Drosophila melanogaster: one gene and its partners. The protein of the gene in region 3 interacts with the protein of the main gene of each other region in a pairwise test. Each region holds a gene or a part of one and is shown on either strand. Other genes may lie near its edges.

Region 1 (10,185 bases), on a different chromosome or scaffold from region 3:
GCGGAGCATTATAATAAAAAAATAACATTTGCGGCCCATGTATGGACCAAGTCGAAGTTCTTGGGACTCTCCATTGGAGTTCATAACATTGGTGAGGGTGTTGTGACCCTGGTGGATCGCAGCGAGGAGTACATAGTGACCTTCCCCAACGGCTACGGCAGGTGAGAACGTGTCTGTGGTATTTCCGGTTACAAACAACTGAAGACTATTTCCATTACCAAGGTCTATTCTTACGGTGCCTTGGATTGAGCTCGGCGGTTCGGTGGAGATCAAGTGTCCACAGTCTGGATACTATGCCAACGTGGAGTTCCTCACCAAGCCATTCTATGGCGGCAAACGGAACAGGGTCTCGGCAGAGGTGACTAGCTCTGAATGTGTACATTTGTTTTCTTTTATTAATTCGGATAATCCATAGGTCTATGCGCCGAGCGAAAAGAAGCCTTTCGTCTCTATTACGGGCGAGTGGAGTGGTTTGATGGAGGCCAAGTGGCATGATAAAAACGTAAGTCGTCCAAAATATGTTTGGTTTATGTTTGTAGTGTACTATTATATATTGTTTCTGTAAATGTTGATCCTTTACTTGTACTTTTTCCTCCGCATACTGCGCCAAAACGCTGCAACAAACAACCCCACGAGTTGGCAGCCACATCCACCCTTCACACCCCAACTAGACCTCTACTTACTATCCACGATTCTTCTGCTTTTCTCTTAAATAGCTCGGGAGCATTTCCTCTGTGTGTTTACTTTGTTTGTCTAGAAAATCGAACCCACAAATTAATCCTATGCCTGATTGTCCAACGTTGTATTCAAATTGTTGCTATCTGTACTTATATATGATTGCTGTGTGTTTAATATTACACCCAATCCCAATCAGTTGACCACATAGTGAATCTGAATGAATCTCTTGAATTTTCTAGAAAACCGAAGTATTCGTCGACGTAAATCGCATACCCATATTTAAGAAACAAGTTCGACCAATCGTTGAGCAGGATGAGTACGAATCGCGACGCGTTTGGAAGGAAGTGACAGCGGGACTCAAGTAAACAGCATACCAATTAATTCCTGACCCCCAATTGCGAGTCATGATAAATGTAATCTCTTTGTTCGTTGCTCTTCCACAGGTTCAATGACATCGAGCGCGCTACAACTGCCAAATTCGTTGTGGAGCAACAGCAGCGTGATCAAGCCAAGGTGCGCAAGGAATACGATCTGGCCTGGGAGCACAAGGTACGTCATCCCGATATAGGGTAAAACAGTTAACAGATAATATTCGTTCACAGCACTTTAAGCCCGTGGGCGACAACTGGATCTACGCCAAGCCGCTGAGTCAGCGCATGTATCTGCAGGAGAAGGAGGCCAAGAGATAATGCCTCCGACTGACAACGAGAGCAACAACACCAAAAACGTCTATATATATGGATCATATCAAGAACGAGCCTCAACTATATGTTTAATTCCACAAGTGCGCAAACCTCTCAACACTGACGATACAACGTAACGAATGCAGGAAAAGTTAGAGCAACAACTGAACTGGCAGAAGGAGATCCATGATGGAGGCTCCAGGGTCTGGTTATTAATTGTAAATAATATACACAGAGAAAAAGAAAGGAGTAAAGCTCTGCTCATTAGGTTGGAACGCGAGTCAAGCTCGACAGCTCAGCGGAGACAGAAAAATCAAACACTCACAGTTTCTATACAGAATTAACGATTATTATTTACTACTAAGTACTAGTGTGTTTCAAAGGCAATCGCAGTAAACTGCAACACAATGACACCTATTCAATACCTTTTACATTACTAACATTTACTAACTAGCAACAAAGAAAGAAATCCAATACATAATGGGATATATCAAAAGTTGTAGATTACAAAATGATAGTTACTTAAGGATAATAGAGATTCTATTTTTGAAATAAAAGACTCTGCTATAGACGAAATACAATACCGACACGCTAGTATCCGACAGATACTGCACCCTCGCTTCTTTCCAAGACCACAGGACAGACACACGGACATAGAACACACGGTGCACAATGATTTTCCAGTCGCATAGCTTATAAATCAAATACGATTACCTTTAGTATTATGTTTCGAATTCCACTTGTCACAATAATAACAATAAAGCTTTACCAAGAGTCCGCTGGTGACACACCTTTACACCTTACTGCAATAGAACCCAATTGAAAACCGAACTCCTAGACACGTTGAATAATAGACATTAAATTTAATTTATAACTTTATAACTTACGAGCCAGGAAGCAACACCACCCACACAGCAAATCTACCGACTACTCTCACGCAAAGTTAACGCAAAATGAAACGAATAAAGTAAATACGCTTCGAAATTGATTTAAAGTAATATTTAACGAACTAGTTACCCCGTAGAATAAAAGAATTGTAATCCCAATGGCATTAATTGGAACTTATATCCAAGCCCGGGGAAACTTGTATATATTTTTGCGATTTTCTTTTTAACCAACGTGTTAATTGAGAAATTGAGCTACTCCCAAGCAGATACAAATATTGCAAATAAAGCGATTTGTTCTTTAAGCAGTTTTAATGGATTTTGGATTTCGGGCTTACGAACATTTAAGCTCATATCATTAACAGAGTTATATATAATATACATTGCTTGTCTTCACTTAATAAACATTGCGTTAAGTTTTAAATTTGAATTGTTACAAAAATAATGTTACCATTGGTATCGATAACATTTTATTTGCAATCGATAGGCGACCCAGAGCACTGTCATCTCTTTTTTAAAACCAACGGTCACACTATTGACGTGGCCTCAAAATTTTTTGTTCTCCGGAAAATGCAAAAAGTTTGCATTTAAGTTAATTGTGCATAGCAGCGTACGACGCCAAGTCCAAAGAATCCGCCTGCCAATATAGGACGTGTTCGCATCCATCCGGAGCACGCGAGGAGCGCTTGAAATCGTGTAAGAAAGAAACTAGTGCGGAAGGAAGTTTTGGGAGTGGAGAGAGCGTAGGGAAGTGCGAAAATCGTTTAATTTTCGTTCGCGGAGAAAAATCCAGCCAAGGATTTCACAAAAGACCAGAACAAAGAGTACAACCAGTGGTTTTTACAGCTGCATCCGCCCTTTCCTCACAACGAAAGGCGGAAAAGCTAATTCATAGTCCGCAGCAAAATCGCCAATCAAGGGCGCAAGAAGAAGAGGCAACTACAAAGTGCAAGTGCTGGCCGAGGAACTTCATGCCAATGAAAACTGAAGCTCGGGAAGGTGATAAGTGATTGGTAACCGTGTTATGGGCACTACATATGCCTTGATTGCCCCAATTTCTTTGAGTGGGTGGTGGGCGTGGCGGGTTGACTTCGCCAATAGGCACGTCATCAAAAATTTGCTTTGTTCCGGAGACAAATCCTTTCTCTTCCTGATTGCTTCCACTGCATCTGGGTCACCAATTTAACCGACCCACCTTCTGCGATCATTGATGGCGAGGTCAAGTGCTTGAGGCACGCACACTTACACGTTGTACATCACATAATAACCCATAACGACCTGCTGTCGAAGCTGTTTAAACAGCAAAATATGATATGAAATTATCACCCTATTTCCGACTTACTGTTGACGTAGACACAGTTCTGTAAACACTGAATCAAGACATTTACCTAGGCAGCCAGTCTAGCTTAAAAGTTTGTGATAAAGCTCCAATAACGCAGAATTTCGCATTCCATTCGATCACTGCAAATTCTAAACTGTCTGTAAGCGGGGAAAAGCATCCCGCTTTAAAACTTTACAACTTTTATCAGCCGCACATTGTTTCATGTTACGCGCTTTTTAACATTGAACGATAAGATAATTCCCTGTTTCATGTCGGCAGCAACGCAACCTTCGCTAGTGATAAGATAGCAACTAAACAAAATGTAATTCTTCATCTTTCAGACCACAAACCTATGAATTAGCAGCATGTCGACTTACAATCCGAACTTCGTGCCTCCCGCCCACGCCCCTATGCCACTGAACGGAAACAATTTTGTGAATGGTGTGCAAGGAAGCGTCCAGCAGCAGCCAGGTCCTCCACCTGGTCAGCAGTATATACCACAGAAGCAGCCACAACAGTTCCAGCAACCACCTCCTGCAGCAGCTTTTCCGGGAGCAGGAGCGCCAGGTAATGTGCCACCGCCGCAGCAGTTCAACAGTGGTATTACGAACCAGTTCTTGCCGCCCACGTCAGGAGCAGCTACACCTCTGCAGCAACTGCCGCCCAGCACGCTGCCGCCCCATCTGCGTCCGCCCGCCGCCAACGGACCACCCCTTACGAACGGCAGCAATGGGGCGTCCAGTGCGAACTCTTCGCGCACTGCATCCCCAAGGCCAGTAGGAGCTGCCCCTCAATATGCTCAAGGACCAATCGCTGCAGCGTTGAACAATCCGCCCCTGGCGTCGGGACTGCGTCCTTCGCCCCAACCGACGCACCAATCTCTGGCCAACTTGACGAGCAATCTGGAAAATCTTAACTTGAATACCACTCGAGCAAATGGAGGTACCAGCATTTTGCCACAACCCCAAACCCAGCAACAGTACGCACCCACAGTAACACAAAAGGATGGCAGGGGAGTGGCCTCGGCCCAGACGGGTCCACCGCAGTTCAACGACGCCAACAGTCTGTTGGCGGCCAGCGGAGTGGCCGCTGCACTAGTTCCCAATGCCATGGCGACGCCGTTTAGTGGACAAAAGCCCCCCAATTTGGCTCCAAATCCGGCCAAAATGTTCGGAAGCGCCTCGATGGCCGGTAGACCAACACCAGCGGGGCAACGAATCCCATACGGAGTACCCCCACCAACTAACCCCGAGCAGCAGAGCCAGCAAAACAACAATCTACAGAATGCACCGCCGCCACCAAGAGTAGGAGCGGTATGGCCGCCGAGCTTACCAAATGTAGCGGCGCCGGGAGCCCAGCCCATGATGCCGCCAGCCCAGCAGACACCACAGACGTATCCATACTCCCAGGTTTATCAACCAGGACCACAGCAACAGCCACCACCTCCTCAGTCTGCAGTGCAGCCACCGCCGCCGGGAATGTTCGGAACGCAACCGACTGGAGCTCCACTGCAGTATCAGGCACAGGCGCCTCCTCAGGCTTACGGACAACATCCTCAGCAAGCACCCCAGACTGCACCCGGGGGACCTTATGGAACCACTGCTCCACTAAACGTGGCTCAGCAGGGATTCAGCAGATTGTGGGGACAGGATACTATCGACCTTATGCAGAATCGGCATATCTTAACGCCGGCAACGTTGCCTCCGCCAAAAGTGGTTTTGCACAACCAGTTTCACGAGTCCATAAACTGTAGCCCGAGCATTATGCGCTGTACGCTGACCAAGATTCCCGAGAGCAACTCTCTGCTCCAGAAGTCACGTCTGCCTCTGGGCATTGTGATACATCCCTTCCGTGATGTCAATGTAAGAATTTTATTGAAAATAATTTGATATAAAAGACTTTAACTTGGAATTCCTCACACAGAGCCTCCCTGTTATTCAGTGCATCAACATTGTGCGTTGCCGGCTGTGCCGCACTTACATAAATCCCTTCGTTTACTTCGTGGACAGCAAGATGTGGAAGTGCAATCTGTGTTATCGAGTCAACGAATGTAATTGAAAAGAGTTCCCAGCATATAATGGATTTAGTAATCCAATGTTTCTTTCTTCGTGCAGTGCCAGATGACTTTCAATTTGATCCGGCCACAAAGACATACGGCGACGTAACCCGAAGGCCCGAGGTACGCTCTAGCACCATAGAGTTTATTGCTCCTTCGGAGTACATGTTGCGGCCGCCACAGCCGGCCATGTACCTGTTTCTCTTCGATGTCTCGATAATCGCGCAGCAGAGTGGTTATCTGGAGGCCGCATGCGCCGTACTCAACCGGCACTTAGACGAGATGCCCGGTGATGCGAGGACCCAGGTGGGATTCATTTGCTTCGACAGCTTCGTGCACTTCTACAGCATGGCCGAGGGGCTCAACCAGCCGCACGAAATGACGCTGCTGGACATCGAGGACCCCTTCCTGCCACGTCCTGATAGTTTGCTGGTAAACCTAAAGGAGTGCAAGGAACTGGTGCGTGATCTATTAAAGCAACTGCCTAAGCGGTTTGCCCACACCCACGATCCGGGTTCCGCCTTGGGTGCTGCTCTGCAGGTTGCTTTCAAGCTAATGGTGAGTTGAGCTATTCAAAATTAAAGAGGAACCTTAATCATCGTGAATACTGTATACAGCAAGCGTCCGGCGGACGGATAACCGTCTTTCAATCGTGCCTTCCCAACAAGGGACCCGGAGCCTTGGAGCCGCGCGAAGATCCCAACAACCGCTCGGCAAAGGACGTGGCCCACCTTAACCCGGCAACCGACTTCTACAAGCGCTTTGCCCTAGAGTGCTCCGGCTATCAAATAGCTTGTGACCTCTTCCTGATGAACCAGCAGTACAGCGACATGGCAACCATTTGTAAGTGACTCTTAGTAATGTAAATTCAAACTGCCTTTTTGCATTAAGTTCTCTTACGAGTAATAGAGCACCGTTAACTTATTGGAGTTTCAATTTCCCTATAGCTGGCATTAGCAAACATAGCGGCGGCTGTGTACACCACTTCCCGCTCTACCAGAAGACAAAGCCACACATGGTAGAATCGTTCCGCTCGTGTTTCAAGCGCTATCTTACCAGGAAAATTGGATTTGAGGCGGTAATGCGAATCCGCTGCACTCGTGGCTTGCAGGTGCATACATTCCATGGAAACTTCTTCGTGCGCTCCACGGACCTGCTCTCGTTGCCAAACGTGAATCCGGATGCTGGATATGGCATGCAGATCTCCTACGAGGAGAGCCTCACGGACGCGAAAACGATTTGCTTCCAAGCTGCGCTGCTCTATACGAACAGCGAAGGAGAGCGCCGAATCCGTGTGCACACCGTGTGTTTGCCGGTTACCGCTTCGCTCCCAGAGGTAATGCATTCAGCCGACACGGAAGCTATTATCGGGCTGCTGTCGAAAATGGCGGTTGACCGGTCGGTCGCCTCCAACTTGTCGGACGCCCGCGATGCATTCATAAACGCTACGATCGACGTGTACAATGCCTTCAAGATAGCACAAAATCTGCCATCGGGACAGTCGGGTCAGCTGATAGCGCCGCGCAGCCTGGCGTTGCTCCCGCTCTACATCTTGGCCCTGCTTAAGCACGTGAGTTTTTTGCATATGATCTTAGTTATCACAGCTTATTTCGGTTTTCCACTAGCCCGCTTTCCGTGTGGGAACTAGCACACGACTGGATGATCGGGTCTACGCCATGGATTGCATGAAAACGCTACCGCTGGACCAGCTAATGAAGTACGTGTACCCGGAGCTGTACAAGATCGATGCGTTGATCTACCACGCCCGCAACTCGAACATTAGTTCGAACCAGGATGACGACGAGGACGAGGATGAACCGTTGCCGGAGCTGCCGCGTCTTCAATTGTCCGCGGAACAGTGAGTAGAGTTGATTTATTTTTGACCTTCGATAACGAACGCTTTAACTTCAGCTTGGACTCTCGGTCAATATTTCTGATGGACTGCGGAACGCTGATAATGATCTATGTCGGCCTTAATGTGCCGCCCGATGTTTTGGAAGCTGTTCTGGGTATGATCTTAAAACCCAACCAATTTGTGTTACTAATCTGTTTCTAATTTCAGGCATCAGCTCCACCGCAGAACTGGGTGATTATGTATATGGATTGCCAAATGTTGTGAGCAACGAGAACGATGTGCTGAAGCGTTTTATTTTGCGACTCAACTACGATAAGCCCTACTCGGCGCTGGTGCAGATAATTAGGTAAGTCGGACCACTATTAAAATATTCATAATACCTTGCTAATTATTTTATCTTAAATTAAAGGGACACGAGCACGGCCAAGGGCCAGTTCACCGAGAGATTAACCGACGATCGCAGTGAATCTAGTTTGTCATACTATGAATTTTTGCAACACATTCGGGCTCAGGTTAAATAGTATATAAGCAGGATATCCTACCACTATTGTATGCAGCATAAATACGAGTTTCTAAGAACCTAAAAACTCAGACTCTGGTGACTAGAAGCACGAAGCGAATGCAGGTGACACTGGTGCGAAACAATGGAGACCAGTTCGGGACAGACATACACTTGATACACCTTAACCACCCATCCCCTACCCACTCTCTCGGCTTAGGTAATTTTAAAGTGCATGTATTTATTTATTTGTTGATTTGTTGCACTAAAAATAAAATAAAATAATTGAAGATCATAGTAAATGCGAAAGAGCCAACTTGTCACAACAGAAACTAAGATATCGTTGCCAGTTCGTTTAGGGCGAACATTAGTCAAAAGTTCAGCTAACCAGTCAGTAGAGCTCCCGAAGAAGTGGATGGCTCCGTTATTTATTATAGAAACTATGCAATAAACCAACGAAACTGTTGTACATTATGCTTTAGCTCGATTTTTGTTCGTTCCAACTGCTTCAAACATTCTGCAAACTTCTCAGCCCCACAAATTGTTATCGCTTACCCCAATTGTTTGCTGTTTTCAGTAGTATTTATTTTCCGGAATCCAGAGAAATCTATATTTATTTATAAGTGTAAGGAAAGGCGTTTTGTTGCACTGTAGTTAGCGAACTTATTTCAAACGTATGTACGGATTTGGTATTGTGTATTGCATTCATTGGACTGCTAGGCAGTGAATGTCTTAAGCTTAGAAGGAATATTATACTGTATCAATAAAGAGACCCCATCCCTGTACCTCAGGTGGCGCAGTTGTCGTTCTTTGAGTGGGCTAACTAATCGAAAAACCATATACAAATACTGTACCATACTTTATACACATACGAGTACATCAAGATATAAAGCGAAATAAATTTTAATTAAATCATAAGGCAATGCGTTTTATTTTCATATGTACAGGCACATCTGTTGTTCCCAATATATCCCAATTTAGTTTTGGGAAAGACCTTAATTAAATTAACAATCATTTACAATGGATAGATGATGGCGCATAAGACTCAATAAATCGGTCAGCCCTTCGCAAGACATATCCTGGTTCTATGTTCCTCTACATAAAACAGTTGTCAGCGCCTAGCCAGAGATTCCTGCAAAAATATCAACTTTAATAATGGACAAATATAAATTGGGTATCTGGACTTACGGATTGAAGAAGGGGGAGCGCGGCGGATACTTCCTCTTTGGTGGAGGACACAAGATGGGATCCAGCTTATAATCGTTTGTTGTGTCTAGACTTCTGGGAGAGTAGTGCTGCCAATCTAAGGACTTCTCATCTGGTTGGTAGCCATCGGTCGCGTGCTCAATCTTCACGTGTACCTTGAGATGATCCTGGAGGAGGAATACCTTGTCGCAGAGCTGGCATTGAAAGTGTCCCTCTGTGTTGGGCACATGGGCTTCATGGTATCTTTTATAGTGCTGGTGCAGTTCCAGCGAGGATCGCATCGTGCGCCCGCATATATCGCATGTTTGACCAGTGCTCACAGGCTGCGGAAAGTGGGTGGGGAGGTGTTCGTCCAGCTTCTCAGTGGCATCAAAAGTCTGCTCGCACAGCAGACAGGAAAGTTGCACTTCAGCCAACGCCGTTTCCATTATCTATTTATTTCACATGCAACTTGTTTATTTTTATGTTAGCTTAAGAATATACGAATGGAAACTCTCTATATTTTCAATTCATCAACATATGAACTACTCGCATTACGGTTCCTCGCTCTCGTTCTTTTACTCCGTTATTTACACGTCTTTCTTTTCATTCAACATCCAGTCTATTCGATGCGCACTTAAAAGTCACAAGTGTTCCATTCGGTTACAAGAAATCAACTGTTCTTTTCGTTCTCCTCATACTCATTGTGAAAACAGGAGAGAGCGAAGTGTCATATCAGTGTTGCATGTTTAGCCTCTTTTAGCTATAACAAAAATTAGCTATTGTGGGAAGTGTGAGTTAGGGCAGATATCGATCAGCGCTGGCTCGACAAGTTCTCGAAAAAAGGGCGCAGTCTAAAACAACAGCACACACACTTTTCTTTTGATATGAAATTGGTTCAATTCTGGTGGTACAGTTAGCATAATATTCTTTTCTTTTTAAACCTACCCAGCATTATGTAATCGATTTAGGAGTATTTATAGTAAAACGAATATAAGGCTTGCAACTTAGCCGAAAAATGTGC
Region 2 (6,079 bases), 4.0 Mb from region 3:
TGGGTAGGAACTGGATTGTCTCGGTGTGCGCTGAGATATGGATATGACTAAGCGTTGAAAGGCCCTTCCCAAACGGTTGGACTGAGCTGGCCGGAATAGACGCTCTCCGGTTGCGATTCCGTCTTCCAATGATGTTGCGCCCGCACGTGCCCACATTTATATGGTCTAGCACTTACCTTTTGTTTATATAAAGCCGGTTTGCATTGCAATTTAGGGCTACGGCGAACGATATAAAACACCAAGAGTAGTCCACAAATAGCAGCTGCTTCTTCTTACCTCTTCTTGCCAGTCACAGCGAACCACGTTTACACGGGGAAATAATTGCTAGTTCTTAAATTTCTATATCATAATGTTTAACAATATATAAGCTAAGATATTTTCTTAAACCTCGAAAATAATTAATTTAAATATTTTACAAGCCTACATCAAGTGTTCATAATCTTTAGAGTCGCATAAACATTAAATATAAATAAAATTGTTGGGCCTTCCTGTGAATGGCTATTCTTCAGTTCTCAACAGCTGATTGCAAGCCGCATTTAATTTACTAGTTCTTATTATTAATAATTGAATTAACCTTTCAAAATGCGTTTAACGCAATATTTGGCCAGCAAGTTGAAGAACTTTTCCAATCTGCCCAAGGAATACATCGAGCGCAGCAAAAAACAGGTAACAGGAAGAGTCTTTTTCATTGAACAACTTGTGAACAGCGGCTCACGTAACACATCGCATGGAAAATGTTTCACATTTATTAAAATATTTTTTTTCATCTCAACACAGGTGTACTGGCAAACTCCGAAGGAGATTAATTACCTACCGCGTACCGTGGAGCGAAAGAGATTCCGCTACACCACAAATCGTTCATGGACGGGTCAGTTCCGCCAGCAAAATATGCCCGGAACCGTGCGTCGCAAGGTGCTAGTGGAACCAATTGGTAAGGAATAAGAAGCCTTGACCTCTAAAACCTAATAAAACATGGTTGTATATCCTTTTCAGAGGACTGGAGCTTTTTCCGCGGCGATCGTATCGAAGTCCTTGTGGGTAAAGACAAAGGAAAGCAGGGAATTGTCACCCAGGTTATACCCGAGCGCAATTGGGTAATTGTAGAGGGCCTGAACTGGCACTATCGCAAGGTTGGCGGTGAGAAGGAGTTTCCCGGTATCATTATCAAGTCCGAGGCACCTTTGCACGTCACCAAGGACATTCGTCTGGTTGACCCATCGGATCTTCAGGGCACCGACTTTGAGTGGCGTTTCACGGAGGAGGGCGAGAAAGTGCGGGTGTCCTTGCGATCTGGCCGAATCATACCCATCCCGGAGACGAACAACCAGACGCACGATTATAAAACACCAAACGCCTATATCGAAAGGGAGAAGGATACGCCAGGTATGGGCTATTATCGCATTTCAATATGTTCCTAGTCATACAAGTCTGTCCTTTTCAGGCGCTGTTGTGGGCGAGATCACCTTTCAGCCCAAGTTGTCCACATTCGAGATGGACATTATGGAGGAAATGGGCATCAAAGAGGAACGCACGCCAGTCAAGAGCTATTGGTACTAATGTTATGCCTACTGTTTATTAAAGTAATGTACAAAATACCCATATAATTGAGCAATAAGTTTAATGTCACTTGCGCACCGTGTTGAAGACCTCCTCGCGATGATCCCGGAGCGTCTTGGCCAGCCCGCATACAGTTTCCTCCGCCCTGTCGTAGTCTGGGCGCAGCGTGCTGTTAAAGGTTTCGTAGAGCCACGTGCAGGTTTTGGACATGTTTGATTCGTAACTGGTGAAGACCCGACTGGTGTGCTCGTACCTAAAAGGGATTCGTTTCCCTTTGTAGAAGATTCTAGAGAAATCTATATATTAACTTACCGCGCTTTGTTTGCTATATCCGTGATTAGGTAGGTGTTGCAGTGCTTGACGGCTAGGACTTGCCGATGACTCATGTACTTGAGTTCCACGTGCGGCAGAGCCAGCTGAGCCGCCTCTAGGGATATCGTGGAGGCGTGTAACAGACTTCGACAGTCCAACGCCCACTGAAGCTTTTGCTTGGGATCTCTGAACGAGAAATAACATGTCAACAAGTTCTAAGTGGGGAATTAATTTACCCACATTATCCGTCCAAGCTGTCGCCATTGTTTTAATGCCTGCGTCGAGGAATTCGCGGCTGCTCTAAGTAGTAATCCACAGATGCGCCACTGCTCCAGTGCGCTGCCCAGCTTATCCCTTGTATCTCTTGCCGTCTCAAGCTGCTCATCAATGCTCTCCTCCAGCCGAGTCATGTACGTTCCCCCGCTTATATACGCTATAATCCCGTCTTGCTTTACGTACAGCTCGTTCAGCTCTGCATAGCTCTCGGCCAGAGTCTTTAGACGCACCTTAGTGTGTTCCAACATCTCGCCGTAGTAACGAATGCTAAGCAAATACATGGCGGACTCGCTCAGGTTGGCGAAGAAATCCTCGTGCATGGAAGCCTTGCGGGCATCGCCAATTACGCCCAGGTTGTAGGCAAGCTAAAGTCGAATGGTAATAATATACTTGAGGGAAGTTCATCACATTCACTAATGGCAGGCCATTTACCTGGGCCAGGTCCTTGGTGGGCGTGTTGGCCACAATTGGGTCGCCCTGCCGCCCCCCCATTGTGTAAGCTGGAATGGGCAGGGCCTCCTCGGTTTCCCATTCCCTCTCGCGCAAAGGAGACACTCCCATGCCATCGAGTCCCAGCATCGCCTCGTGCTTGCTCTGAATGTGCTCCACCCAGGCCTCGGCGGTGGCCATTCGAGGACCAGGACATGTGCCCTCCAGCTTGCTGATCTGCTCGTCCAGGCGCACATATTGCTCGACCACATTCTGATGACGAAATGGAAGAGGTATTGATTATGGCAAAGGTAAGACGACTTGTTCAAGTGCTATTACTCCAGAGGCGCCATTCTGGCGAGGTTGCATTTCCGAGCTGACCTCCGTGACGACAGGATTCGTCTGCGTATCCATGGAGGAGCCACAGCCCATCACTCAGGTTGTCTGTCCGAAGTGCTGCACGAAGTTCGCCCGCTCTGCCGGCGATGACATCTTCCGTCTTAGACCTTTCCAGTTCGCCTGTCCAGCGCTGAATGAGCTTTCGTTGGGTCCGTCATGTCCACTTATGAGGGAAAACACAATAACAAAAATTATTTTTGCGCGCTAGCCATTGGACAGGGCCACACCAAATCCACCCACAAACCATTTCGGGAGGTGGGGACAGGGGCCAGCGTAGCCCCCTTGTTACCACGTATGTGTCCTTTAGAGCGGACCACTCTTCATGAAAATTGCGCATACGACATGTGCAACCATTACTATCTTTAAGTTTAAGTTATATTGATTAAAATACATGTTTCCTTAATTAAAATGCTACAATACATATGACGAGTAATACTTTTGTTCAATAGATTTTTGAAGGTTCACCCCAATAGCCCGCTGTTTGTCAACAATGTGTTATTTGCTTTGCTAGCTTTTTTGTTGGCATGTCCACTATACCTTGTTGGATTTGTGAATTGGCACACGGTGTATTTGTATTAACAAGTTAACAAAAACAACAAAGAAGGGAGCCATTAACATCTGCTTATTGTGTAGGAAATGTGCAAGCTCAGCTGAACGAAGGACGAACTCTAGTAGTCCTATAACTGGGGTACTAATCGACCCGAAACATAATCCATCAGCAGGATTATAATCTAGATTTTGATAAATTACCAGCAAATTAGAGGCTCTGCTCTGGAGTGTTTATAGCTTATTAGGATTGTAGTATGCCCTACAGAGAGAGTAAATTTGGTTATATATTTATTACTATTGGAAAAATTTAGGGACATATCTTCTTGAAGTTTTTAATAGCTTGTGCACGGATTACGATGTTAGCTATAAGTTTATGGCTGTACACATTATCATATGCTAGAACTCGTTAAGTTTTCCTGTTTCTCTCCCCATCCTAACTTCAATCCACGTTTGTCCTTAACCAGCTAATGTGCTAACCTAATTCGAAGAGCAGTGAGTTCTCCAATCCCTTGGCAATTGGTCATTAAACTTGTCCGAATGTGTGCTCCAAACATATAGTGCGACCATATGTCGCATGAGCAATGCAGTGCAACCAAACGCAAAGGCGTCGGAAAATAATGGGTCAAATGATTGCGTTTAAATAAGTAATAATGTAGTCAAGTGTCGATTAGAGTGCTGAAGTCCGAATGCAAACTTGTTGATGAATGGCGCCCAAGCTTTCTGAGCTTCTCAGGGACGAAAGTGTTAAGCAAAACATGGGAATCCAAAAACCATATAGGCGCATGCGCCATTGTGACATCCATAATCCTTCCTCCCACTTCTGAAGGATAGACTTGCCATTCAATATCATCAAACCTACATCCATACCATACCCGTTCGATATTTTTAACCATCAAAACTTTGTTTTAAGTTATTTTTTTAAATAGACAACATTTTAATAAAACAATTACGTGATTCTTTTTTAAAGGATTATGTTCGTGTGCACAAGCACCTTCTGATGAGATCTTCTTGATATTTTACTCCCTTCAGTAGGTTTTCGCATATGTTTTCACAGTCGCCAGGTTGAACTACTGGTGGTTTTGGCCAAGACCACGGCCACTGAGGTGATGGCAACGGCGGTGGTAATTGCTGGGGATAACCTGGTAATTGTGGCCACTGATTTGGATATCCGGGCATCTGTGGCCATTGAGGAACGACTGGGTTAGGTTGCCAGGGCCACACGGGATTGGGGTAGGTCGGGTTCGGATACCACCATGACCAAGGAGGAATCTGGTAAGGAGGCTGGGGATGGCAAGGGCAAGGACGACGGGTTGTTGTTGTTCTTGTAGGACTTGCAGATGGTGTTGTAGTTGGACAAGGTGTTGTTGTGGATCTAGGAGTAGTTGTCGTTGGGCGACTTGTGGTAGTTGTTGTTGTGGATCTAGGAGTAGTTGTGGTTGGGCGACTTGTGCAAGGTGTTGTTGTGGATCTAGGAGTAGTTGTCGTTGGGCGACTTGTGGTAGTTGTTGTTGTGGATCTAGGAGTAGTTGTCGTTGGGCGACTTGTGGTAGTTGTTGTTGTGGATCTAGGAGTAGTTGTCGTTGGGGCACAAGTGGAAGTTTTTGTTGTGGATCTAGGAGTAGTTGTCGTTGGGCGACTTGTGGAAGTAGTTGTTGTGGATCTAGGAGTAGTTGTGGTTGGGCGACTTGTGGAAGGTGTTGTTGTGGATCTAGGAGTAGTCGTCGTTGGGCGACTTGTGGTAGTTGTTGTTGTGGATCTAGGAGTAGTTGTCGTTGGGCGACTTGTGGAAGTTGTTGTTGTGGATCTAGGAGTAGTTGTCGTTGGGGCACAAGTGGAGGTTTTTGTTGTGGATCTAGGAGTAGTTGTCGTTGGGCCACTTGTGCAAGTTGTTGTTGTGGATCTAGGAGTAGTTGTCGTTGGGCAACTTGTGCAAGTTGTTGTTGTGGATCTAGGAGTAGTTGTCGTTGGGCAACTTGTGCAAGTTGTTGTTGTGGATCTAGGAGTAGTTGTCGTTGGGCCACTTGTGCAAGTTGTTGTTGTGGATCTAGGAGTAGTTGTCGTTGGGCAACTTGTGGAAGTTGTTGTTGTGGATCTAGGAGTAGTTGTCGTTGGGCCACTTGTGGAAGTTGTTGTTGTGGATCTAGGAGTAGTTGTCGTTGGGCCACTTGTGGAAGTTGTTGTTGTGGATCTAGGAGTAGTTGTCGTTGGGCCACTTGTGGAAGTTGTTGTTGTGGATCTAGGAGTAGTTGTCGTTGGGCCACTTGTGGAAGTTGTTGTTGTGGATCTAGGAGTAGTTGTCGTTGGGCCACTTGTGGAAGTTGTTGTTGTGGATCTAGGAGTAGTTGTCGTTGGGCCACTTGTGGAAGTTGTTGTTGTGGATCTAGGAGTAGTTGTCGTTGGGCCACTTGTGGAAGTTGTTGTTGTGGATCTAGGAGTAGTTGTCGTTGGGCCACTTGTGGAAGTTGTTGTTGTGGATCTAGGAGTAGTTGTCGTTGGGCCACTTGTGGAAGTTGTTGTTGTGGATCTAGGAGTAGTTGTCGTTGGGCCACTTGTGGAA
Region 3 (9,055 bases):
ATATTTTTTCAGGTTGCCGACAACTCATTCCCCAACATACTCGCTATTCTCAGTGGATATTCAGCTAGTACGGCTAAGGAAAATGTCTGCGATACGGATAAACAGGGCTGCCTGGACGAGATGCCAATGATATGGAAGTATTTCAAGAATGCCAGCTATTTGACAGGATACGCGGAGGACGAGAGTAACTCGAATCATTTCAACTACCTAAAGCCCGGCTTTTCCAAAAAGCCGATGGACTATTACTTTCGCCCATTGCTTAGAGCACTGGAGTCCGAAATGGATGTGTACCGATTGCCGGAACATGACTACATGCGATACTGTTTGGGTCGCCGGATAGCGAATCGTTATATCTACGACTATGGCCTACAGTTCACGAAGCGTTTTGTTCACGATCGACCAATTTGGGGAATGTTTTGGTCGAATCACTTCAGTCACGATGATCCCTTTATGCCATCAGCAATGCAGGAAAAGGTGCTGGGAGATTTGATCGATATGCATGCGGATGGGCAATTCGAAGAAATGATAATGATATTTTTCGCCGACCACGGAACCAGATTTGGCGATTTGACCTATCTGAAGGAGGGCTTTCTGGAGGAGCGGCTGCCCATGATGTTTATATATCTGCCCCCGTGGTTTCGTGAAACATATCCATCTTATGTAAGGGCACTGGAGTTGAATCAGCACAGGCTTAGTTCCAACTTTGATCTTCACAATACGCTGAAACATATCATAGAGATTGGAGGCACCCCAGATGGTCGAGAGTTACCCAAGTCCTTCGATTGCCCCACCTGTCAGTCGCTATTCTATCCCCTGCCGGAGGGTCGAACGTGTTCGGAAGCCGGCATTGAGGAGCACTGGTGCACCTGCGAACCCTACAAGATTATCTCGGGACAAGATTGGACGACTCCTATTGCCCACAGTGTGATCGATCGAATGAACGAGTATTTCGTTCAAAAGAACTTAACCAGTCTTTGCAGCAATCTGACGCTAAATTATGTGCATAAGACTGAGATAAAAACCGGTCTTAACATCGATTGGCACCAAACACTGATGGAATCGGAAACAGCGGTTTATCGTATTAAGTTTAAAGTGAAGCAGAATAGTGCTGACTTCCAGGCCACAGTGGTATACCATAATTCCACCCAAAATGCTCAAGTAAATGTGGAGAAAATCAGCAGAACGAATTCATACAAGGAAGACTCCACATGCATCGATGATAAGCTTGCAAAACTATATTGTATTTGCTTTAGTGACCTCCACTGATTAAGTCTCTTATGTACAAAATAAAGTTTAAGTTTAGTTTAAAACTCCTTACATAAGTTTTCAACTGCATTCCTTTGCTAGCAGCATTCCCAAGCCAGATGAACAAGTTATAAAAAATTTTAAGGGCCAACCGACAGCTTAGGAGAATGAAGTGCTATATAAATTCCAGAGAATTCGTTAACCAAACTTTTGGTATCAGTTGACTAATAACATCAATCATTCGTCAGAAAAGTATTTAGTTGAAATACTTTTATCAAATTTTATGTCGAATTTGATACTGGAGACTTTGATGAAGATAAGAAAGATTATAATTTTTGGAATGGCGCAATCACAATAGTCCGGAAAGGCAAGGAAATCCCATCCACCAGATTGGCTCTGTTGAAGTCAACGTTGTTAACCAAGATACGCAACATTTAATGCAACACCGCAATCGGTTAAGGTCAATTGTCCCCCAGATCTTTTTTCGAAGAAAGTAGCGGATTATAATAAATTTCTTGAGCAACTTTCAACTCTTGTGATTTTATTAAAATCGTACATTCTAAAGTCTACCCCTAACGCACTCTTATTCTAAATCGGTACTCGTCTAGTGAAATAAAGTATTGAATTGAATTCTTCTAACTCTTAATCTAGACGGACTAACTTACGCATTGGTCCCCCGAACTACTATCGATAATTCAACAAATCAGCATTAACAGTACGCTTAGTATAGGTTGATTAGAAAACTATATAAAACTTGAATATCCGTCTGCACTACGGATTCCTTTAAGCCTACATCTACATATATGAGTCGACCGGATATCGCTCGGCCTCCTCCAGCATGTGCCGGAAATCGACGGGTGCAGGTTGGCCAACGGGTCCGGTTCCGGGTCTGCCGGGAACATGTCCGTTCATCATCTGACCGTGGGGTTTTCCACTCCCCACGGCGCTTCCGCGATTTTTCAGATGACCGTTCATCATGCTCACGTGGTGACTAATTGTGGGCACGGCGCCTGGCACATTGGTCTCCAGATCGTGTAGAATGGCATCCGTTTGCTCGTTCCGCATCATTTGATTACCCAAGTTGGCTGAGTCGTCTATATCATCGGTTTTGTTCAACAAACGCTGGATGTGATTCCGGATGAGACGCTCGAATTCGCGCTGCACTGATGGACTATCCGTGTCTCCATCAACCTGTCAATATATTTATATATATTGTATAAAAATCATTTATTATTTTCGGAATGTTCTTTGGTTACTTACAATCTGCAAACGATTACTGGTATCCAGAATCTTGAGCATGGGCAGAGTTTGCTCACGAAAGAGTTCCAAGCGACGGCGAAAGGAGGAAACCGTATCATCTATACGTCCTCGGCCCAACTGAAGTTTTGAGCAATCCAGCAGGATAATAGGCGGTCGTTGTTTATACTAAGCAATAAAAAAAAGGGAGTAAATTAAAGTTACTTTTAAATTGGGATTTAGCCATCATATAGATTACCTTGTTCTCAAAGTACTTGACTTGCTGCAGGTTTCTGGGATAACCATCTACGATAATTCCAGTTCTATCCCGTAACTGGCGCAGATTGGTTTCCAGCAGCTGATTCAGCGACTTTTCTGGGGCCATATCCCCAGCGGCCAAGGCTTCCTTGACGGCGAAGCTTTCCGTATTGGCACGTGGTGCAGAGTCCGTGATATTGCGCAAAAGACGACCGACACTTAAAAAGTAGTATGCCAGTTTAAGCAAAATTATATAATGAGCACATCCAATGCAACATACCTGATGTGAGCCCAGCCAGGATTTAGTCCCACAGCCTTGAGGCAGAGTGTGGCCTTGTTGCTGCCCGGACCGCCGATCACCCATATAATAGGTGGCAAATCCGATCCGGATTCGTCTGGTCCAGCAGCCTGGCGCAACTTTGGCTGCTGAGTGACCACAACACCGCTGTCATCGTCCGCACTGGTGGTGCCCGTTTTCAGAGCTGTCACGGCTCCATTTGGCCCACCATCCATCCGTTCGATCGCCAAATCTCTGGCCAAAACTGTTCCCGCAGTTTCCGAGGCATTGGTAACGTCGTTGTCTTCTGCAATTTGAGTCCCTTGTTGGGCTTGACTTGGTGCGGTGTCTACGCTAACTATACTGCCGGGTATATCATGTATCCCTCTGCCCATACCTGTAACTCCATTCATAACGGCCTCTTGGTTCTCGAGGGTGCTCAGTATATCGAGGACGGCGGTGCGAAAGTCTTTGTATACCTCTGTGGGCGCACGTTCGCCATTTACCTGTAAAATAAAAAGAAAGCAATTAACATATATTATTGATATGATCATTATTGCAATGCACAAAATACTTACGGCCAACAACATGTCGCTCTGATCGAAATAATCGGCGACTGGCATCACATTTTTAAAGAAATTTTCTAATTCCATTTTGGCTAAGGAGAGTACTACATGACCTAATTTGGCCCCATAATCGATTTGCTTTTGTAGAACCGATTGGCGCCAGGATATAAGAATCACGCCATTCACGACTTGAATCTGAAAGGAAGTAGAAAAAAAAAACCAATCAAAGAAGATTAATTTTTATTTATGACTCCAAATTGTTATGTCCTACTTATGCAATATGTAGGTCTATATACCATAGTTAACGCCATGTGCTTGAAACTCCCCAAGTGCCGTTTGCACCCAGTCTGTCCAATTAGCACTTGCATATATAATATAGGAGTCACCGTAAATCCATGGGAATTATGGCCAAATAAACACACTGTCGCCGACTCATTTGCCAGTTAATTAGTTGAAATAGTTCAGCAGCAATTTACTGGGCAAATAAAGAGTGCGGCAATCAAAATGGCTTCACAATAATTGGGTGAGCTGGTGGGGAAGACAGCGAAAAATAGTCGGTTGCGTGGAAAATTACCTTTTCAGAATACTCGACAACGTCGCGCATGGAGCGTGGATATCCCGATATCAGGTATGCTTTGGCAGCTGGAGCCATTTTCATTTCCAACATCAGCACCTCAGTGACTGTTTTCGACGACAGTTGTGAAAAGTCTTGCATGTCTGTGGGCAAATCATTTAATAGACAATTGGCAACGGATTACGTCGAAAGTGTCTAAAAGTATGCAGCACTATATTATAAAGTAGTTTATATTGCAACAACAGCTGTCTCTCCTCAATAGCATACTTGTATATACCTTCTGTCTTCATTTACCACAGATATCTTACCATTGCCCATTGCATATTGCTGGAGGAGATCCATCATATTGATGTGCGTTACACCGCGTCGCTCCTGCATGAAGGTATCGCAATGGGTGACCTTGCCACTACCGGGGCCGCCTAAAACAAATATCACTGGCACTTTGGGCGGATCGAATTTGATTTTTCCAGCATTTTGCATATCGATAGCGCCGACATTGGTAGAACCCAATCGTCCTGCCGCCGCAGCGGCCTCCAAATCGCCAGCATTTTGGCCATTTCGATTCCGTGTAAGATTCCAATCGTTGCCTGGTTCGCCGGTATCTTGTGCCGCGCTGGCATCTAATTATATTTAAATAAATTATTTTAAATTTACAATAAAATGTAATCGGTCTAAAATACGGAATTTAAATTAAATATTCAATAGAAAGCAATAATATACCAATTCTCCGATTTTTACAGGCAATTTAATGGACTGTATCTCATTAGTTAAGTGTTTTTAAAACCCATGGAGAAGCAACAGTTGACTTCGGCAAAAGCGCAGAAATTTTTCAAACCGGAAACCGGATGTGTTGGCAAGTTAGCGCAAGGAAACCGGGGACCGGAAAAAGGCAAGGGCAGACATAACGTGCCAAGTTGGCATTAGCCATTAGCCAGCCTTCACCGAGGCCGGAAGCAATTTGCCAGGAGTAGGAAATTAGTGACAGAAACCACACGCACTCGATGGGTGGAAGGGAGCTAGGGATCGAAACAAATCGCAAAGCCCATCATTAAAACATGTTTAACAATTATTTAATTGTATGGCAACCGTGTTTAGTATAGAATGGCGTCACCGCTGAATTCATTCATGGAAAATCAGCTGCAGCATGGCGATTCCATAGCATTCAATACCGTACACATACCCCTCTAAATTTCCCCATAGAAATTTTACGTCTGCCCACCCGCGGAACCAGTTCAGTCCTTGTGACATTTTTATTGATTTTCCTGCAGTTTTATTTAATTGACATGTTTTGTTATTGTTGCTATCCCTTTTCGTCTCGGGGATTTCCCCATTTGTATCGCTATTCTTTTTGTTTTTGTGCGTGACGCTAGTTTCAGGATTTATGTGTACTAGCTTCGGTGGTCAACGAACATGTCCAAGGACCTGGCAGCCATGGAGGCCAAAAGAGTCCAAGTTCCGATACAAATTATACCGTTGGGCAAGGTCTCGATTTTGATATAACGCTAGGTGTACACATATAAAAGCAACGTTTTGTCACAGATAATTGTTTTTTCTTTCAATAAATTTCAAGCAAAGTGATTGCAGTAATTTCAATTGAAACTGTCCTTTGAGTTGTGGTCAATTGAATATGTCACCGAGACTAAAAAGAGTTACGTTATGATATGGGGATCATTTTGTAGTCAATTTTTATTTCTGTTCCTATATTGCTTTTAAATTTATATAGTTCATGTAACCAACAATGGTATCCCGAAAGTATGCTGCAAAATAGTTAATATTTTTCAGTGATCAGCTAGAAGCTATTCTATACATGTAGACCGACTTTAATTGATTGCCATTGAAAATTCGTGGTCACAAAAACCCATGAAGTTTCTATACCGTGTTTCACCTGTCGTGTTCGCCTGCGCGACTCATTAGGGTTCTTTTTGTTATCTTTGGCCGTGGAGAGGCAATGCTAATCTTTGATTACAAATCTGCTGCATGTGGCATTACTCACCTGTGTCTAAACAAATACCCATTATCCATTCGGTGGCCAGTATAGCTGAATTTTCGCAATAGTGTTTTCCCTACCGCACACCACCCACACACACTCTAGCCCACACACTTGCAACTTTAAAATGATTATCTCGTTGAAAATAAAAAGTAGAAGAAGGATCAGTTCTCAATGGAAATTGTTTAGAATTCCACAAATGTTTTGCATTCTATAACTTCGACTGTCCATGACTACCGTGAGTGAAATTCGCTCGATATATATTATAAATATGTGTACATTTATTATTGGTATCTCTGGGATACTTGTTCTCGCGCTTTATCGTCGGCAACACGCACCACAACGAACTACATGACGTTGCCGGTTTTAGTGTTTTGATTCCTGCATTAGCCGCGAACTCGACCGATTTGTGTACCGATTTTCGATTTCCGAGTGCGCTACACGGTGCCACAGTTCAGCAGTTCAGCGGTTCAGCGGTTGTGCAGTTCAACAAACCGAGCACGTACAACTCGACGAACGTCCGAAACGAAACTGAGTTTCAGAATTGACAACTGGCTCGGTTTTTAGCTCTACGAGCACCGGTTCCCCTGGTCACTATTCCAATTAATGAATACTTTATGAGCAGCGGTTCCAGCAGTTTCATACCACCAATGCAGTTCCAGTTTGGCGTGGGTGGTCGGGATTTCCTTGTCCTGCCCGATTGGAAGTCTCACGCACGACCTTAGAATACCTATGTGCCCCCATCAGAAATCCACCTCACATGTCTGTGTCATTCATGGGCCGCCATTTGTTTATGCGCTCCAAACAAAGTGTCCTGTGTCCTGGAACCAGCGGTGCGTTTCTCATACATCCTGCACACACATGTGCGGGCTCTCTCGCGTATGTGGCATGGTTTTTAAAACATTTTCCAGGTTTTTTTTGTTTTGTTTTCCGTGCTGGCGTGCTGGTGTCCTGTCGTCTATGCCGTTTGTTGTTGGCGGTAAGCCTTCCGTTTTCATAGGTGTAAATAAATCCTTAGACTTGCAGCTGTTCAAGTCAAGAGACTATATACACCCAGATTATGTGGTTCAAAAAAATAGTTACAGTTCCAAGACTTAAGATTTTCGATTTAAACTAATTGATTTCTGCATTTAAGCAAATATTGCTGAATGATCGAAATTATATACAATATAAGTTTGGATATAAGATATTTTTTAACATTGAAAGCTTTCCTTGTAAGTTATAAAAAAATTCATTTTCTAAATTTAAATAAATAAATAATTAAATATTTTTTATAATTTGAAGTTATGATAAATGTCATTTGGTTCGTTTCGAAAGTGTGTTCACCCATTATGAGTCTGCCATAGGGTATGTGTTCATTGTAAATCACTTTCATGACATCGATGGCGGATAAATTGCGCAGTCATGGCGACCCACAGTGACAAGAGCCCCAAATTGATAAATCCCGTGGGGCGGCGAGTGGTGACATAGGGTTGGATTCCTTATACAGTAGTTGGGAATTGGAACACTGGGCTGTTAGATGTGCAGTGGGCGTGCCTTCAATTAATATTTCACACTATTAATTGACGTTAATTATTTAGTTTACTTCTGGTTGCAGTTCAATGATACCTCTTTTTTTTGGGAGGGAGGGGGGAGGACTAGACGCAATGTGTGGACAGCTGTCAAAATTTCCAAAATGTGTTCAATTAAAATTCTATTGGATTCGCTGGGGGTTTTTTGAAGTTGACACTGGACGGAGGGAACAGGTGTAATAGACCCGTCAAGGACACTCGAAGAAGTTCAAAGCTCAAGGAAACTTCATATCGATCAAATTGGTCTCATATCGATCCATGGACAACCACAGATGCGACGCCTAATTTCTTGGAATTTGTGACATGTCATGTGCCGTCGACACAAGGACGGCAACAACAAAGATAACAACAGCCGAATTGACCAAAACGAACCACCAGCCAACGAACCAATTGACATTGAACCCACACCTGACCAGCAGTTCTGGGTTTGCTTTTCCAGCTTATGCGTAAGGCAAATCCTTGCAATGACCACAGCAGTGGAACTGGGGAACAGCCGCAGCTCGTGTCCCGTGCTCGTCCTTGGGCCCTCTGGGCGGGTCCTTTGGCTATTAAATCCCCTTTTCAAGCTTAATTAAGGCTACGCGTTTTGGCCAACGTGTGTACACAATGACAGACGGGGGCGGCCAACTTAGGGTTAAGCAACTCGAACCGAACATCTGTGATTAAGGACACTGGCTAAGGAGACCCTTTGTTGGCGTAAAGTGCGTTGAAAGGATGAGAAATTATGAAAACACCAACAATCGAATTATATGTGCTGTCCAATAAATTATTTGAGCACATCCGAAAAAAAAGGGTGAGATATATATTGATGATATATACCAGTACGTCATGTAAAATAATTATTTTGTCATAATTTGAACTTAAGCCACAACTCATTTGGTTTAAAAAACAAGGGTTCCGTTAAGTTGAATTGATCTATTTATATAATTGGATGAAACTAACAATGAAAATCTCTTGGCACCTGAGCGAGCATTTATAAATAGATGCCCCACAATCAGAATTACTTCAGTCCTTGCCGGTTTATTAACTCTGAACTGAATGTCCTTCAGGGCCTATTTGGGCCTAATGCGGCCATTCAAAGGTGATTAGGGGCTTGAGTAAAATATTTACACATCTCGTACAACCAGCCACACTACTAATTGGCTTAGAATTTCTTTTTTTTTTTTTTTTGATACCCATGCACCTTGAGCCATCCTGATATGGTCAGATATAAATTCTTAATTATCAACTGTGAAGTTCCCAAAGGCGGGCGTGTCAAACGAATTGAAAAACCCCGATGGCTATTGGGTACATTCATGCTTTCCTTTTCGAACTTTTAACTATTTGAATTTTTGATCAGAA
Region 4 (6,770 bases), on a different chromosome or scaffold from region 3:
ATGAGTAAAAACAATACACACTATGTACGTATATGTATCAAAAATGTTTGCTATATGAGCGCACGCGGTGTATGCTTCAAAGGTAAGAACATAGTTATTTTAACTAAAATGGTTAAGGAATGGCACTCCGTTAACTTTCGAAAGTCATCGAAAGCGGAATGTGGGCGGTAAGTGCTGTAAGCGCAGACTCAAACCTTTGTAAAGAATTTCGAAAGGAATTTGAATTTATACACAACTATGCGGCGGGACAGAGAGGGCGAGCGAGTGGGAGCGAGACAGCAGCGGCATGGAGAGCACGTTGAAAAAATCAGCTGTTTGTGGGACAGCACCAAAACAGAAACAGAGATGGCAGAAGTAGAGCGCGGCAGACAAAGCAGCGAGAGCGAGAAGGAGACGCGCGTAAGAGCGAGTGCGTCAGAGCGAGAGATAATGAAGATGGCAGGGGGAGGGTAAGGAGGTTAAGCACGCCGTGGGCTTTAAATTTCATGAATGCGAGCGCAAAAAACTGGGCAAAAAGAAATGCGAACAATGCAGAAAAAGGGGTAATGGAGAGAACGCAACCAAAACAACGGAATATAATAAGAGCGCTTTAAAAGCTCAGTTAAGCGAATTAATTTGCATGCCATTCGCGCGTTCTTGCACTCAAAATGTGAATATGTGGGTGCCCCCGACCCTTTGCTTACCAACACCACCGCCCCGCCCCCCCCGCTTCGCTCCTCCACAGCCCTTTTTGACTTTCCCCAACGCTTTTCCTGCCAATTGTTGTTCGTCTCGGGCATTGTTGCTGCGTGCTCTTTGTTTTTGCGCTTCATTTCATTCGTCACTTAAACACCCCTCGTCACTTAGTGCCCCCTACCCCTTCCCCATCAGACCCACTGCCCCCCTGCCGCACAAAATGCAACATCCTGGCAGCCATGTGATGCCAATGCCGATTCCCTATGCCGATTCCACACAAAAAGGCTGCAGTAAGAGCCCTCGAGGACTTTCCACTTAGTCTCCTGAAGAGAACGCGCCACTTCAGAGTTTTCAGGAAGTAAGACAAATAATTGCCGTGGCTCGATTTAATCCGCCATTTAAGCGCATTTAAGCCGCTTATTCGGCTGCTTAGTACTTACGTTTTCTAGGAAACAGAAACATTCACCCGAAGTTAATCCGCCGCCGATAACGCCGCCGCCAGCAAAATAAGGCCGGCGGCCCAATTAACAACGCCCATGCAACACGATAATTAGGTGCAACTTTTCTCTTCTTCGATCACATAACGAAAGTTAAATGTAAATGGGCTTTGGAATTCACAAATTTTTACGAAATTTTCTTTTCTATGCGTTTCCTGCGAAATTTCTCTCAGCGGAAAACACGCTGTGGCGAGTTTGAAGGCTTCACCAGGAATTTGTTGACTTGTCAGTGCGCCTCGAAGTTAGTGATGCGCAGGCGAATGGCCGCAAAAATAATCGCATGAATTTGGGCAAATTGGTAAGCAGAGTGCACTCGTCTATTGATGAGCAGCAGTTTTATTCAGGCAATTAGGTGCATTGAAAACTTCCAAGTGTAAATATTTACCTTAATTCCATAACATAACTGCCTTATCGAATGCTTTTGGTTAACAGTTAGTCACTATGGCGCGCAGAATAATTGATTTAAAAATTTGAAGCGCAATATTACGTTTTAAGAATGTAATGATCAATAAATGGCAAGAAATCAAATCTACATAATAATATATGCTATCATATTGAAGAATGTAATGAAAAACAAGCTTAGTTTATATAATTAATTAAATGACAAGTGCATACACGCTGGCGTTGCCAGACTGCTGCACATTGTTAACTGCGTGCTGTTAAGCGCAGCCTAACAGCACTCAAGCAGTGCGTGGCATTTCGACACATACTATGAACGGTAACATTGAGCACATAAAAAACGTAAACAATTCATTGTAAATTACAATTTCCCGCTTTTATTGCACAAAAATGTCCATGCAAAAGGCCAAAGTCATCGACCAGAAGGAGTACCTCAAGAAGTACCTATCCGGCGACAAGGAGAAGAAGAAGAAAAAGAAGGAGAAGAAGCACAAAAAGAATTCGGCCAACACCAAAGTGAAAATCATCGATGACGACGCCTACGAAAATGATAATCTGGAAATGGACGAAGATCTACTGCTGGGCGGCGAGGATGCGCCTCAAATTGTGGGCGAGTACATCGAAGAGGATCCCAATGTGCGCAGCAAGTGGCGCAACATTGCCGTCAAGGATGAAATCAAAGAAGAGCACGAGGAATCCTCGCCAGCAACTGGCATTCGCATCAAACAGGAGCCCTTGGATGAGGAGCAGGAGATGTGGGGACGCAAGGCGACAGTTGTTAAGGTTAAGGATGAATTCTCACCATCCAGACGAAGTTCACCCGTCAGAATTAAGCAAGAAAAACGCAGCAGCTCTAGGGATTTAAGCCCAGCGAGATCGAGTAAGCCAGCAAAGCGAGAAGAGAGTCCTCAAAGGGGGCGAAGAAGGGCGGGAAGCTCAGATCAGAGTCCCACCAGACGAGGGCGAGATGGCGATCAGTCTCCGCCACGCCAAAAGCACAGGGATTCCGATCAGAGTCCACCCCGAAAGGCCAGGAATGGCAATCAATCGCCAGTCAGAAAAAGGCGGGATTCCGACCAAAGTCCGCCAAGAAAACGAACGGGAAAAGCATCACCCACTCGAAGGAGAAGGGATTCCGATCAATCGCCACCCAGACGCCGCAGAAGTAACTCCGATCAGAGTCCGCCAAGGCGACGTAGAGACAAGGATTCAACTCCGCCCAGAAGGAGGAAAGATTCCGATCAAAGCCCACCTCGAAGGCGTAAAGCAGACGATCAATCTCCGGTGCGAAGGGAAAGGAAAGACTCCGACCAAAGTCCGCCTAGGAAACGGAGAGACAATGACCAGTCTCCAGTGCGAAGGAGGCGGGATTCAGATCAAAGCCCGCCCCGAAGACGCAGAGATGACAAGCAAACGCCGCCAAGGAGGAGAAGAAACTCCGATCAAAGCCCGCCAAGAAGACCCAAGGATGTAGATCAATCGCCACCGCGAAGAAAACGAGACTTCGACCAAAGTCCAACCAGAAAACGAGACAAATCACCACGCAGACGTCACGACTCCGACCAAAGCCCGGCCAGAAATCACAGAAGTCGAGAGCGCAGTCCACCGCCTCGTAATCGCTTCAAGGAAGAAAGGAAAAGTCGCTGGGCCAAGGCATCGCCCAGCAAATCAGCATCTCCACCTCCGACACACAAGCCGAAATCCACCAAGACACTAGATGGCAAGAAAGCTGGACTGCAGGATGCGAAATCGCTGAAGAAGGAAACCGACGAAAGGCGTCGACAAGAACATGAACTATTCGAGAAAATGTCCAGCGAAATTTCCGGTCGTGATGGCGATGTGCAGGTGCGCAGTACTCGCAGAAAGGGACACCGAGCACGAGATGCCGCCAATGAGGATCCCGCCGAGCAGGGCCGCAAAGAGGAGCACGAGAAAAAGAAGAAGGAACTGTACGATCGCTGGGGCAAGGGGTTGAAGCAAATAGAAGATCACAAGTCCCGCCTGGAGGAGATGGTCCATGAGGCCTCCAAACCGGTGGCTCGCTATGCCAACGACGAGGATCTGGACAGGCATCTGCGCGAACAGGAGCACGCCGACGACCCGATGCTGGAGTACATGCGCCAGAAGCGCAAGAAACGCGACCAGCAGGACAACAAGCCGGTGATGCCCAAGTACGAGGGCAGCTTTCCGGAGAACCGATTTGGCATCCGACCAGGATATCGCTGGGATGGCGTCGATCGATCCAACGGCTACGAGCAGCGTTGGTTCGACAAACAGAACGAACGGCGGGCCGTGCAGGATGAGGCCTACAAGTACAGCGTGGAGGATATGTGAATGTTGCAAGCGTTGTTTGCTTTCGTGTTGCAATAAAGATGTAGGCACTGCCTGTAAAAAAGAAAAGAGCAATTACATTGATCGTTTTCTTTGTTTTATTGAATTATTTTGGAAAATAAAGAATGTAAATAGGTAATATAATATTTAATATTTATTTACAAAAATTTGATTTTCGAAATGCCCGCCACTTTCCCGCCAAATCGACGTGCCACCTGCAACACTGGTCGCCAGCGCAATGCAACCCTGTGTGTAGAATAGCGGAGCAAAAGCGAATGGTAAATAGTCTTCATCTACACCTGCGACCTGCTCGTCGCTCCCAAAAAATCGTTTCAAAACCACGGAATAAACCGTGTAACTGGGGAAAACCCATTGTAATTATCAAGTTTAAAGTGTGCCGCACATTTTGGCTTCAAAACCAGAATAGGTAAGTGACATCATCTGCTAAATAGAAGCATTCTAAGATTTTTGCTTTGTAAGCAATAGAGTATCGATGTGTGTGTGTGTATGTAAATGGTTCTGCTTTTGGTTGCTTTGTTGCTGCTTTCGTTACAGCGAACAAAGCGTAAGCAACTGTATATGTGTATCGAGTGGGACGCCAGTGGTGTGTGTTTGTTGCCCCGCCCCCAATAATTAGCATAAAACTCTCTTAACCACAACAAAAACACCACAGTCGTGTTGGTTTGTGCATTTGTGGATTGGGATTTCGGTGGTTTTCCTTTTTTTTTCAGCTGCTTTGCCTGCCCTTCGCCTTCAGCCGCAATTGTCGGTCAGCCGATGAAAAACCAGTTTGTTTGTTTGTTGGCTTGTAGCTGCTGCTGCTGCGGCTGATTGTTGTGATTTTGTTGTTGCTGCTGGTGCTGCTGCACTGCAATTTGCTTGGCGCAAAATTGGCGCCAAAAGCTTTTCAGCTGCAGAAACGTGTGGAAATGTTGAAATGTGTACGTACCATTCCAATCAGGCATTTGGCGCATGCACGCGCCTGTCGCTCGCTGCAGCTTCCATCTCGCTCGCTCGCGGCGGGATGCAAATACCGCAATCAGCTTTCGTTCTATCTCTTTCCCGTTGACACACATACACACTTCCGCACATCGCATTCATTCATGACACTGCTATTTACTCCCCCTCTCTCTCCCCTGCCCCTCTACGTTCTTCTTTTCGATTCCTTGTGTGCCATTTCGTGGTCTGCTTTTATTTCGCTTCATTTTGAATTAATTGCACTTCGTTAGATTATTATTTTTGCACTCTAACAAAGAGCCGTTCGTTTGGATGTTACTTTGTGTGCAAATGAAGATTTAGCCAATTTACACAATCGTAAATTTAATTTGCGTTAGTGTATGTAAATCCATAATTTTCAGTTTCTATTTCCTTTTAGCAATCAAGTGCTAATTTGATCAATTATGCGCCTTTGATAAATAAATAAATAATGCAGTAAATTTATTTGTTTGATATTCTCTTTAATGTTGTAATTGTGCACTTTTCATACATATTATACTCCTTTGTTCTTAAAAATGCATAAAGTGAAGGTGGTTTTAAATTATGCTATAGACTTTGATTTTTTTAAAAGGTATTGACTAATTGAGTTTTTTAAACTTCAAGTTTACTCATTTTAAATGCATGAAAAACAGTTCTTTATAAGTTTAACTAGTTTTTAGTTATTTGTTGTTAACGGCAGATATTACACGCAATGGACATCGCAAAGATGCTAATTCTTTATTTCCCTAAGATAAGGGTAAAAATATCAAATATCTGTTTCTGAAAGTTTGCCTATTTTGCTTTTGAGCATGAAAACTTTCTTCAACTTTTCTTGGGCACTTTGTGTTTTTGAATGTTCTTTGCATCAGACAGGCTAAGATCAGTGCTTGGCCTTCTTCGACACATGGCCCTCTTAACCCCCCCAAAAAAAGGGGGAGAACCATAAACTGATGGCGCAGACACCCCAAGGAAACCTTCGCTGGTCCAAAAGCAACCCCCAGAGCAAGCTCAACCCTTGTCCTTGGCCCTTCCTTGTGCATTTCCTTGGCTTTTTCCTCGCGAATGGGGTGCTTCCAAGGACCCAGTGACATGACATTGTAATGGCTTAGAAATTTACACGCATCCCATGCTGAGTACGTGTGTTCCAAGCACCCCTTACAATCCACAGATTGATCCTCCCCCTTGGTCTTTGCTCGGAAATTGAGGGGTTGGTTTGTGTCATGCACTGTCAAAAATATTTATTAAATTACCAATATCTGAAACTCTAAATAAATTTCCCAATAGATGTAAAATCAGCACAAGAAATTTGCTATTTTCAAACGCCTTTTTTATCATAACTTGGCTAAAAATGTACTCACATTACAACATTTGATAGTTTTGTGCAGCTTATTATCCCAACTAACGATCTATATCACTTTTTTGTTCATATTTGGAATTTCAAAATTTTATGAATTTTGGATTTTTTGCAAGGGGTAACATCATAAAATTTTGAAAAAAATTTAACAAAAAAAAAAATTTTCAAATTTAAATGCCAATTGATTTAGAATTTTATAACGAGTTTTTTGAGATATGGCATTCCATATTGTGGCTGTTTTTTATAAAATTATGACGAAAAAACGAACTATTATGTGCGGAAAATTAGGCTAAAAAATTATTGCAAAATTTCATATTTACGAATACCACAAATATTGACTATTTGATTTTGATATATTTGAAATATTATTTATTACTGTTTATGTATGTACCAAATTGTTTGCAGTGTAGAATTTTGGCACAGTGATTCGGGTTCTTTAAAGCGTTTTTTAATTCCTTCACATGCTGGAACAACATAGGGCAAAGTTATTCAAATTCCTTTTGTTCGAAATCCTGTTGAATGGCAAAGGGAATTTCAAT

The links.
Region 1: the proteins of CG9541 (region 3) and Sec24AB interact in a two-hybrid assay, tested with the Drosophila melanogaster proteins (one large-scale study listed by BioGRID).
Region 2: the proteins of CG9541 (region 3) and synr interact in a two-hybrid assay, tested with the Drosophila melanogaster proteins (one large-scale study listed by BioGRID).
Region 4: the proteins of CG9541 (region 3) and CG13625 interact in a two-hybrid assay, tested with the Drosophila melanogaster proteins (one large-scale study listed by BioGRID).

Annotation. Positions count from the first base shown.
Region 1 is NT_033778.4:9,874,939-9,885,123, reverse strand, and holds Sec24AB (secretory 24AB), read left to right. Parts: upstream 1-2,766; 5' UTR 2,767-2,941; exon of another isoform or gene 2,942-3,728; intron 3,729-3,907; 5' UTR 3,908-3,931; coding exon 3,932-5,428; intron 5,429-5,489; coding exon 5,490-5,616; intron 5,617-5,680; coding exon 5,681-6,180; intron 6,181-6,239; coding exon 6,240-6,465; intron 6,466-6,569; coding exon 6,570-7,192; intron 7,193-7,247; coding exon 7,248-7,480; intron 7,481-7,533; coding exon 7,534-7,631; intron 7,632-7,684; coding exon 7,685-7,823; intron 7,824-7,886; coding exon 7,887-7,998; 3' UTR 7,999-8,892; downstream 8,893-10,185. Other genes in the region: CG1513 (uncharacterized protein), read left to right, coding at 1-161, 223-358, 416-502, 918-1,039, 1,122-1,227, 1,281-1,367; CG12744 (uncharacterized protein), read right to left, coding at 9,072-9,108, 9,165-9,610.
Region 2 is NT_033779.5:4,939,779-4,945,857, reverse strand, and holds synr (sayonara), read right to left. Parts: upstream 3,117-6,079; 5' UTR 3,007-3,116; coding exon 2,914-3,006; intron 2,848-2,913; coding exon 2,578-2,847; intron 2,511-2,577; coding exon 2,110-2,510; intron 2,056-2,109; coding exon 1,870-2,055; intron 1,811-1,869; coding exon 1,624-1,810; 3' UTR 1,558-1,623; downstream 1-1,557. Other genes in the region: mRpL24 (mitochondrial ribosomal protein L24), read left to right, coding at 583-666, 778-931, 994-1,383, 1,442-1,557; Sgs1 (salivary gland secretion 1), read right to left, coding at 4,492-6,079.
Region 3 is NT_033779.5:8,968,761-8,977,815, forward strand, and holds CG9541 (uncharacterized protein), read right to left. Parts: upstream 6,217-9,055; 5' UTR 6,172-6,216; coding exon 6,150-6,171; intron 4,777-6,149; coding exon 4,465-4,776; intron 4,300-4,464; coding exon 4,157-4,299; intron 3,778-4,156; coding exon 3,595-3,777; intron 3,523-3,594; coding exon 3,020-3,522; intron 2,958-3,019; coding exon 2,741-2,957; intron 2,671-2,740; coding exon 2,506-2,670; intron 2,437-2,505; coding exon 2,041-2,436; 3' UTR 1,760-2,040; downstream 1-1,759. Other genes in the region: CG18088 (uncharacterized protein), read left to right, coding at 13-1,266.
Region 4 is NT_033777.3:24,580,272-24,587,041, reverse strand, and holds CG13625 (uncharacterized protein), read left to right. Parts: upstream 1-1,881; 5' UTR 1,882-1,961; coding exon 1,962-3,905; 3' UTR 3,906-3,975; downstream 3,976-6,770.